Linked DNA regions of Canis lupus familiaris. Each later gene encodes a partner of the first gene's protein in a complex. Links are inferred from orthologs where the notes say so. Each region holds a gene or a part of one and is shown in the gene's direction. Other genes may lie near its edges.

What was found.
Region 2: CYFIP1 (region 1) and EIF4E share a complex: the UniProt entries of both Homo sapiens proteins name them as parts of the CYFIP1-EIF4E-FMR1 complex. The link is inferred for Canis lupus familiaris from reciprocal best matches to the Homo sapiens genes CYFIP1 and EIF4E.
Region 3: CYFIP1 (region 1) and WASF2 share a complex: the UniProt entries of both Homo sapiens proteins name them as parts of the WAVE2 complex. The link is inferred for Canis lupus familiaris from reciprocal best matches to the Homo sapiens genes CYFIP1 and WASF2.

The regions. Positions count from the first base shown.
Region 1 is NC_049224.1:32,059,552-32,063,204, forward strand, and holds part of CYFIP1 (cytoplasmic FMR1-interacting protein 1), read left to right. Parts: coding exon 1-5; intron 6-2,233; coding exon 2,234-2,330; intron 2,331-2,436; coding exon 2,437-2,565; intron 2,566-3,653. UniProt on the Homo sapiens protein: Component of the CYFIP1-EIF4E-FMR1 complex which binds to the mRNA cap and mediates translational repression. In the CYFIP1-EIF4E-FMR1 complex this subunit is an adapter between EIF4E and FMR1.
Region 2 is NC_049253.1:18,848,435-18,851,070, forward strand, and holds part of EIF4E (eukaryotic translation initiation factor 4E), read left to right. Parts: intron 1-716; coding exon 717-856; intron 857-2,636. UniProt on the Homo sapiens protein: Acts in the cytoplasm to initiate and regulate protein synthesis and is required in the nucleus for export of a subset of mRNAs from the nucleus to the cytoplasm which promotes processes such as RNA capping, processing and splicing.
Region 3 is NC_049223.1:72,194,636-72,198,831, forward strand, and holds the start of WASF2 (wiskott-Aldrich syndrome protein family member 2), read left to right. Parts: upstream 1-1,389; 5' UTR 1,390-1,474; exon of another isoform or gene 1,475-1,615; intron 1,616-4,196. UniProt on the Homo sapiens protein: Downstream effector molecule involved in the transmission of signals from tyrosine kinase receptors and small GTPases to the actin cytoskeleton. Promotes formation of actin filaments. Part of the WAVE complex that regulates lamellipodia formation.

The DNA.
Region 1 (3,653 bases):
AAGAGGTGAGCTTTGACCTTTCCCTGTAGGTCCTTGCAGAGAGTGCCCCCGCAGACAGGGTGGTTCCTGATTAGCTGCATGCTCTGCACATGGTAGGTATGCATCCCATATGTGCTGAAATAATGTCACTGTTTGGTAACAGTTATTTGACAGGCTCAGGACTGTTTGAATACACACTCCTAGGTGCGTAAGGGTAGCTGGCAGATTATGAGTATGGCAATGCATCAAGGTGCGTCCTCATAGGCATGTGTACATTGTGGTTTCATGAAGCTAGAGTGGGATCTAATTATCCTCAAACATTTGTTGAGGAGCGTGGGTGCTCAGCACATGTGGGAAGACAGAAGTACATAAGATCAGTCCCTTTTATAGAGGGTTAGGGGCACTGCAAGGCTTTTGGCTCAGTAGGCATCTTCCTGAGGGCACAGGCAGGTTTGCAGCCTGAGGGCAACACCTGTTCATGTCATTTCCTGGTTACACATTCCTAGAAGGTACACACCATCACAGCAGTGGGCAGAGCTGGTCTGTAGACTGTCATAGGATCACACTGAGGTTCCAGCTCCCTGAGACTAGCTCTTCTCCTGGGAGACAGGAGAGAACTTACGGAGAAGAGAATTGGAAAAGGTAGGTGTGGCATGATAGTCTGCTTCTAGAAAATAGTGAGGGGCAGTTGGCAGGAAGATGGAGGGTGATCAGTCAGAACAAAGCCAACTATCTTCTAATAGACTTTTCTTTATAAAGTATGTGCTTTAAAAAAAAAGAAAAAGTCTGTGCTTGATACTGTTCAATGCATGATTAGCAGGAATGAGATGCTGACTTTTGTTTGTTCTGCTAGATAAGGACTCTTGGCTGTGAAATTAAATTTTATGAGGTTTTCCTTTGCATCAGAATAGGCTGGCATTTATACTCAGAAGGGGTTATACTATTATACTGTTAGCTGTCGCTTTATTGTATCTGAAATCATATAACTTTTGCCATGTCTTTAAAATAAAATCTACATGGGATGTGGTGCCAAACTGAGATTTAGGATGAGTTAGCAGTGGGAGTTGGACTAGATCACCTAGAGTTGAAGCCTCACAACTGATGAGGGGATTCCACAGTGTTCACACCCCAGGGGTCCTGCTGGCTGGCTGCTCTGCTGTCTTCATGTGTTATCTCATGGTCCAGGATGGTTGCTTGAACTCCAGCGATCATTTCTTCATTCCAGTCAACAGGGAGGAAGGAGAATAGAAGGGGTCATACTACTTTTTATAAGTGAACTTCCAAGTTCCTTGCAGTATTTTTTGTTGTATCTCATGGCTCAACCATTAGTCACATGGAGATGAGGCACATTGCTGTAGCATGGAAATTTGGGGTTTATTTCTAAGGAGGCACAGAGGAAATGACTGTTGGTATAGGATATCAGTCTTTACCATGAGAATTTTTCTTCAATAAAACCCCCAAGTTTTTAGGTAGCAGACAGGTCCTTATGTGGACAGTTTCCACGAAACTTTTTTTTTTGGGGGGGGGCTGCCCTAGACATTCAGGAAGCTCACACCCATGTTTACATTGCTTTGCAAGACTCAGACACTCAGCGTGTACCTTACAGTCTTATTGTACCTAAGTGTACAGATAATTCTGTGTGTGCTGTTCCCTCTCTCCTCACACCTGCTTTGTGGGTAGACAGATGGACAGTTGTTGTTTGTTACAGGTGTGATAAGTGAGCTTCAGGAGAGTGCAGGGGGTTAATCCAAGATCAACTAGCCTATTAGTGGAGGAAATCGGGATTCTGTCTCTGACCATTGGCACAAAAACTGGGTGTGGCGCCTGACTTGTGGGAGGTGTGGTAGCCTAGGTGATTCTTGGCAGAGACACTGGATGGTGCTGACCATCTCCCTTACCATATTCTGGGAGTCAAAAGGGGAGGCAGTCTTTCTCAGACTTGGAAACAGGTCGCTATGGGGAGAAACCAGTGTTATTAGGTACCTGGCAAGAAGGCCTATGGTTGGCACTGCCACATCTGAGGAAATCTTTCAGCTGTGGACAGTGGGGTGGTGAACTGTCCAGGCTGGGACAAGAGTGACCTGGAGTCCAGGGTAGAGAAGCTCGAGGAGGCTGAAATTATAACCAGCTTCTAAGGCCCACATTTTTACATTTAACTGTAGCCAGATAAATAATCTGGATTATTTTATGCTTTTTTTTTTTCTTTTTAAAATCATTAAGCACATTGATTAACTCTTTTTTTTTGCTTTCAAAGAGCCGCTCAGTTTCTACGGAAAATGGCAGATCCACAGTCCATCCAGGAATCACAGAATCTGTCCATGTTCCTGGCCAACCACAACAAAATCACACAAGTAAGGCTTGCACTCTTGCTGCTCTAGCTGATGGGGTGCATGACTGGGGCCACAGCCAGGAAGCCAGGAACAGTCTATGGCATGGATCTCGCATTCTGTGTTTTAGTCTCTGCAGCAGCAGCTTGAAGTGATTTCTGGCTATGAAGAGCTCCTCGCCGACATCGTGAATCTGTGTGTGGATTACTACGAGAATAGGATGTACCTGACACCCAGTGAGAAACACATGCTTCTCAAAGTACGTGTGTGGGCATGGCTGCTTGCGTAACTGTGGAGAGAAGAGGCTGTGTTTTGACTACAATCTTTTTGGTAGCCTTTTCTTATTCTCATGCTTGCCACTGTGTGTGTGCGCATGTGTTTATACACAGTATCCTCCATGCACTAGCGGCTCTCAACACATTCGTATGACTGTCTCAGGCTTGACCTCAGTGCCAGTTGGGATCATATGCCTCCCCCGGGAAGGCATGCTTATGGGTGAGGAGGTCTGGGGTGGGGGCTTCTCTTAGCATCAGCTTCTTGCAGCAGAGGATACATCAGATTCCAATTGTTCAGGATGTGATTTCTAGGAATTAAGAATATGGCGTCTTCATGATTATGGTAGACTTTTCTTGGTCAAGAACATGACCATTCACCATATTGGGGAGGTCAGTGATATTTCTTACTGGGAAGAGGGAGGAGAAGGCAGTTCTGCCACTGCATTAGCTTTGCTTTCCACCTTTGGGGAGGATAGCCTTGAAGAACCTTGTGCTAGGTGTCCAGTCAGCCCAAAGCCTTCCCTGTAAGAGTGGGCCCAGTCCCAAGATCTCTTCCTGCAGGAGAGCACCATGGGCGAGTTGGTGCTGGAGGACGCTGTAGTGGACCTCTTTGTGATGGTGGAAATACTCTATGTGTGCCATCTGGGGCAGGAGCCCCTGGCCATGGATGCTTATGGAAATCCACATTTAGTGTTGCATTTGCTTGACGAGAGGTAGAGATGGTGTTTGTGCCTGGGGAAGACATTAAAATAGCCACAAGAAATGACACACATAGAAGAATAACTTCATATGAAAGGATATCTATTTATTTATAAGGAACTTTTAAAAGTGCTTTTTGCTTTTTGGGATCCCTGGGTGGTTCAGCAGATCCCTGGGTGGTTCAACAGATCCCTGGGTGGTTCAGCGGTTTAGTGCCTGCATTTGACCCAGGGCATGATCCTGGAGTCCCGGGATCGAGTCCCACATCAGACTCCCTGCATGGAGCCTGCTTCTCTCTCTGCCTGTTTCTCCGCTTCTCTCTCTCTCTCTCTCTCTGTGTGTGTGTCTCTCATGAATAAATAAATAAAAGCTT
Region 2 (2,636 bases), on another chromosome or scaffold:
GTTACTGAATATTTGCATGAATTTCTTTTTTGAATGAAGAAACTTAATTTTGCTTTTGGAGATTATCAGTAAATAAATACCATTTAGAATTCCACTTTAAAAATTAGTCATTTCAGTTTTGTAAGATGACAAAAGTTCAGGAGATGGATGATTGTTATAGCTATACAATGTTGTCAGTATACTTAATGCCATTGAACCATACCCTTAAAAATGGTTAAGTGATTTAATGTCATATTTTGTCTATCCTCAAATAAAAAACGTTATTTAAACGATTAAAATGGTAAATTTTATATATATTTGCCACAATAAAAAAAAAAACCTGTGTTCATGAAAAACGGCAAGATCATGAGGCAGTTAATTTAACCTTGCACAACTATTCAGTCCTTCCATTATTTGTTTGCTGGCAAGTAGAAGCAGAAGAGCAATTGAATATTAACATAATTTACCTTTCATATGTGCCCTCACATCAATTGCCCCATTTGCTAAAAAAAGTTAAAATCATCTGTTAATGTTTTTGATATTAAACAAAGAAATGAATCTTTAAAAAGTCAGGACAAAGAACAATATACATAAATATAATTTAGACATTGAAAAAGTCAACTTTTGGTTTAAAAACTGTTTTCAGTTTTGTATATATACAAATATAAGAAACATTTGTAGTTTAATAAGCAGTGAATAATTTGTTTCATGTAATTTGGGATTGAATTTTTTTAAAGCTGCTGTGCCTTATTGGAGAATCTTTTGATGACTACAGTGATGATGTATGTGGAGCTGTTGTTAATGTTAGAGCTAAAGGTGATAAGATAGCAATATGGACTACTGAATGTGAAAACAGAGAGGCTGTTACACATATAGGGTAAGTTTTGCTATTTTTATACTTCCTTTAAAATATTAAGATAACTAAAAGCAAAGTACTGTTACAACTTTAAAAACACTTGGATTTGTAGATCATTATTTTCCTTGTATTGTTTTCATGAAAACTTATAATCTTGAACCTGCTCTATTGGTTTTCATTGTCTTGTCCATATTTTTTTTTAATTTCATTTTCCTCGCAATGGAGTATGTAATCAATGACCAAAGTATTCTATATTGGCATGTAGCATTTTATTTATCCTATGAGAATATTAAGTCTTTTTTCTACTTTAAAATCGTAACATTAGTATTACAATACTCATAGGAATAGTAATTCAGGGAGTATTGGCAAATAGTATATATTCTGTATACGTGTGTGTAAAAATTTCAGTGACTGACATTTAAATGATAGTATTTTAGTTCTGTCCATATTTTAAATGTCTGTTCTGTGCACATGTGTGTAAAATTTTCAGGGACATTTAAGTGATAGTATTTTAGTTGTGTCCATATTTTAAAAACCTACATGTGTAAGTTTTTAAATTTGGGGCATGGTGAATAATTGCCTGGAATTTCCCTATCCCCCAAGCATTGATCAGTATTAACTGGGATCCTCTTTTTATTACTTTTAAATTAGTAATATTTGACTTTTAATTTTGTGTTAAAATTAAGTATTGGTCATAGGTCACAAAATATTTGGTTTGCCCTTCGTGATTGTTTTCAAACAATATGAATTCTCCTATGAACATAATTCCTTTCTAGATTAAAAGATAATGGAGATTTTCCAGGTTTTTTCTAAAAGAGAAGTTGAGGGCAGCCTGGATGGCTCAGCAGTTTAGTGCTGCCTTCAGCCCAGGGCCTGATCCTGGAGACCCGGGATTAAGTCCCACATCAGGCTCCCTGCATGGAGCCTGCTTCTCCCTCTGCCTGTGTCTCTGCCTCTCTCTCTCTCTCTCTTTCATGAATAAATAAATAAAATCTAAAAAAAAAAAAAAAAAAGTTGATTTGTCATCATATTCTTAACCTTTCAGCATCAAAACTTAATAGTTTTGATTATTAAAAAAACAATTTAAAAAATAAGTATGAAGTTCTTTCCTCTGAAAATATAGTATTTGTGTCAGTATTTAAAATTATTGAAATCTTTGTGAAATATTTGACTTCAGTTTTTTAATGGAGGTTATTTTGTTTTGTTTTGTTTTTGTTTTGTTTTGTTTTTGTTTTTTTTTTGACCCAAGTTACATGGCTGAGTGCTCTGGCTTTCTGGCATTTTTATGATTAAGTGTAATGGAAGGGAATACTTTGTATCCTCATATAAATCTGATAATGGTTATTTTAGTTAGAAAGTTATTTTTAGAAACTTTATTTGTAGGAAGGTAGTAGAATCTTCTGGAAGGTATGAGTATGAATAAAACTATCCTAGTATCATATTGGAGAATTTAGCTCCAATATGTATAAATGTATGTCTTTTATTTTATTTGGGTGCTTATTTTTGAAGGTTTGCTGTCTTTTCTTTAGAATAAGTGTCCAAATCCCTAACTTTACCTGTGATGCTCTCTGTGATCTAGCCTCAGTTTTATTTAACCTTTTTAACTCATAGTCCCTTTCTTTATGAGCTGTAGCCACACAGCCTTATTTAGTTCCCCAGCCTTCAGATGTGCTTCATTCTCTCAGCATTTTACTTTTAACCTCATGACTTTTAAAGGGGAGATTTCTCTAATTTCACAGACAAGATTAGATCATCCTTGTTATACAATATCACAGCCCCTGTACTTACCCACGTTGGCACT
Region 3 (4,196 bases), on another chromosome or scaffold:
GAGGTCACTGACTCAGCCAGCACTGAGGCTCTTTCAGCACCACACACTTGGTGGTCTCTGCCCTTCTAAAGTCTTAGGCTGCTCCCCTCCCACTCCCATCTTGGCTTCCTTCCTTTCCAGAGAGGGAAAAGGAATAGGAATTACAGCCAAGGCAGCCCTTCTGGGAAAAACAATCCTGCAATGAAAAGAGCCCTGTTCTGAGAGCAGAGAGACCTGGATTTAAGTCTTGGCATGGAGGCTGCCCTGCTGAGGGCCCTCAATGTGTCACTGCCTCTCTGTGTCCTTGTTTGGGATTCTGTCTGGGTTGCTGACCCACCTGTCATCCCCTACTCACGTCCTGATTCTTAGGACCCTGGAAACAGCTGCGGCCTATGGTGACCAAAGAAATGGGGACTGGCCTGGCCCCTGAAATGCTAAAGGGTTGGTGTTGGAAAGTCTTTCTCAGGGGACACCAAGCCTGGGGGGTGGGGAGTGGGGAGAAATACAGAAATGGAAGACAAAAGATACAGGCTTGACTCCTAGGGTTGTTTCAAATTCCCTGGGTGACTTAGGTTAAGTCGTGGAGTTTTCAATTTTCTCTCCTGCAAAAGGAGGGAAGTCTCCGCCTTACAAAGTAGCTGTAGAGAACTAAATGAGAGATTATCGCTAACTTGTGAGTTTGTCACATTGATATCCAGCCGCAGCCTTTTAGAATTAAAAAAAAAAAAAACAACAACAAAAAAACCCCAAAAACCGAACATGCACCCAACTCAGGCACGTGGCCTCAACAAATATGCCAGGACAGGAGGCAGACATGACTGCTCCTATTTTGCGGAAGGACAAACTGAGACCCAGGTAAGTCCAGGAAGTTGTTTGAGGTCGCAGAATGAGGTGGCGCCCGAACCAGGGTCCTGCTCACCTCACGCTGGCCTCTCAGAACCAGCTCCCGGTCCCAAACCCCAGACCTCGCCCCGGAAGAACCGTTTAGCGGCGGGCAGGAGCCTCTGACTCACGCTCCCCACCCTCCTTTCAGTCGGACCTGAGACCGGGGGAGAAGGGACAAAACTACCTGCAACTTGAGGGGTGTCCACAGAAAGTTCAGAGGTTTAGCCCTCTTTTTTACACCAAAAATCCTGGTTCTTTGAACTCTTCCGAGAAGAACCCATCTTTCAATACACTTTGTACGAGTTTTCCCACTTTCTTCGGTGGGATTTTCCTATCCTGAATTTAGGAGTTGATCCCGCTTCATCTCCACCCCCACTTCACTTGGTTTGCCCCCCCGCTGTTTACTCCGATTGCGGAAGTAGCTCGGGTGGAGCTCCCCAGGCGCTGCCCGGGAGTACGTCTTTTGCGTAGCTATTTAACTGGCACTCGACTCAGGCCAATGGAATGCCCGAAAGCCCCAGGAGGGTGGGGCAGGGAGCCAATCAGGGCCTTTGGCGGGGTGTGGCTGCGTCCCAGGGCGGGGAATCGCGTAATGGCGGACGCGGGCCGGGTGAGCGCGGCTGGGGGCGTAGCGCGCTGAGGGGGGTCTGGCTGTGCGGCGTCCCGGGAGGCGGCCCGCGGGAACAGACCCCGTGCGGAGAAGGGCGGCTGGTCGGCCCCTCTATCTCTGAGGGCGGCCGCGCGCGACCAGGTGAGCAACAAGTCCCCGCGGGCGGGCCCCGCCGTGAGGCGCCGGGCCCGGCCGCGCCGCCACCGCCTACCCCCTGCCCGGAGCCTCGCGGGGTCCCCGGGGAGTCGGTGGCGCGCCTCCCGCCGCTGACGGGCAGTGGCCGGGCGAGCGGTCAGCGCGGGGTGGCCTCTTACTGTACACTCCCCTCCGCAGGGGTGAGGTGTCCTGGAGATCCCCTCGGAGACTTGGAGGGGGCCCGCAAATCTGCTAGGCTTGGAAAGTGCCCTCAACCTGACCTGGCGTTGCCACTAACTCGCTGTGTGACCTTGGGCAAGTCACTTCCCTCTCTGGGCCTCAGTTTCCCTATTTGTAGAACGAAGGCTTTGCAGGCAGTTGTACATGAGTTGGATCTCTGATGTTCTCCGAGATCTCGGGCAAGTTCTTCCCCAGTTTCCATCTCTGGGCCGTGAAGGAATTGAAGTGCTCTTTGAGACCTCTGGCCTGCTAGGTCAGGAGGAGTGGTGGAGAGGACTGTGTGTACGTGTGTGCGCGTATATATGTGTACTGGATGGTTCTGCAGGGTCAGGAGGAGAGTTGGCCAGAGGGGCTCTTCCGTGAAAGCTCTGGATGGACCCCAGACTGTGATGAGGTGGACTCCCGATTGTCTTGATCCTCTAGGATCCTAGACCCTCTGAGATGGCAAAGTTTTATACACTAGTGCATCAGAAGAGAGGATAGCATCCTTGGGGCTTCTTGGGACAATGATTGAAATTTAGGCCCAAAAGAATTCTTGGTGGGTTAGGAATAGGAGGGGGAGCGTTTATGCTGCTCCTACTATGTGCCAGTGCTTATTTGGGCTTATGTTCTTACTGAATTTTTACAGCGGCTGTTGAGAACTTACACATAAGGAAACTGAGTTTCAGGGGAGTTAAGTAACTTGTCCAGGGTCACATGGTGAGGTACAGAGCTTACCAACCATAAGGTGATTTCCTTTGAGAATCACCAGACAAGGGGGAAGTCATTGTCCACTTAAAAGAAGTTTGCTTTGTCACAACTGGGGGGAGGGGTCTGGTCCCAGACACTTGAGTTGACTTATGGCATGGAGACAGGCTGGACCTTGATCTCCGGATTGCTAATTATAAGTGCATTCCTTTTCTTCGGTTTGTAAGTTAGAAAGGACCATTTCTAAATTGTAGAAGTTACTGTGAAGTGTAAAAGGTCAAAACCTCAAAGAACTCATTTTGGATGCTGACCCAAGTGACCTGTAGAAGTTCACCAACTGTTGGTGTTTAGACTTGACTCTTGGTTCAGAGTGGTGCCAGCCCAGTCAGTAGCTTTTCCTCCTCCCTAAGAAAGCTAAATTTTCTTGTGATGAGAGAAATTTTCCATTTGTTCAAATTTCTTCCGATTCTTGGAACGAAAGTTTCAGTACCCTGCCTCTGATGAAGAATAATATTCCTTCCTTTCTTTGTGTTCCTTGTTATCTGACTTCTAGATGAGTGAAGATTTTGGACCTGGAGTCAAAGACTAGTAGCTGGATACTATAAATTGTAGCCCTTAATTTTTTCAAGCCTCAGCTTTTGGTTAATCAAAATGGTAGGACGGGCAGAGTGTATTGTTCTCATGTGTCAATGATAGGGGAAGAAAATTGGAAGAGGAAGTTGCTGAGAAAGAGGGCGTTTCTTAGCAGTGGAGCCAATATGTATTTCTTTGTTTGAAATTCTAAAACCAGAAAAGCAGCAACTGAAGGAGGAAGGAAGGAAAGAACTTTGAAACTCTTCTTGCAGTTCAAATATCTTAGGAGCAATCCCTGTTGCTGTCCGTGTCTGAGGCCCCGCTTTCACAGGAAAAGTCCATTGTAATTTGTTCAAAGTTGAGGAATTGTATTCTAGAATGCAAAAATTTTAGGTATGAAACCTGAGATAAATTTCTTAAAATCAGAACATTTTACTGAGTTTGTTGTTCACCAGTGGATGATTCTTCTTTTTTTTTTAAGATTATTTATTTATTCATGAGAGACACAGAGAAAGAGAGAGAGAGACTTAGAGACACAGGCAGAGAGAGAAGCAGGCTCCATGCAGGAAGCCCGAAGTGGGACTCGATCCCGCGACTCTGGGATCACGCCCTGAGCCAAAGGCCGACGCTCAGCCTCTGAGCTACCCAGGCGTCCCTTGATTCTTTTCCTCAGTAACCAATTGCAGTCTTTTGGTCTGTCTTAACTATGATTTAAATTAGTGAATTTCAACCTAAGAAGAATTGATTTAGATACTGGGTGATGTATATCACCGTCACTTGAAAAAACGTAATGGTGCTTGAGTTTTGACATTTGTTAAAAATCTTTTTGATGCTTCATTTTACAGGATTGTGTATGTGAATAGTTGTTAAGGCATTGAATTTATTGTATGTGAAGATCTATTTTCATTTGCTTTATTAGTTATAAGACTAGTAAGACTTAGTATAAGCCTGTTTAAGACTTAATCTTAGCATACCATATCAAAATACCTTGGGGCCAAAAAAAACCCCAAAAAACGAAACAGTTCTTGGGACTAGATATTTTTTGCATATAGAATTTTTGGGATTTTATTTTTTTTAATTTTTAAAA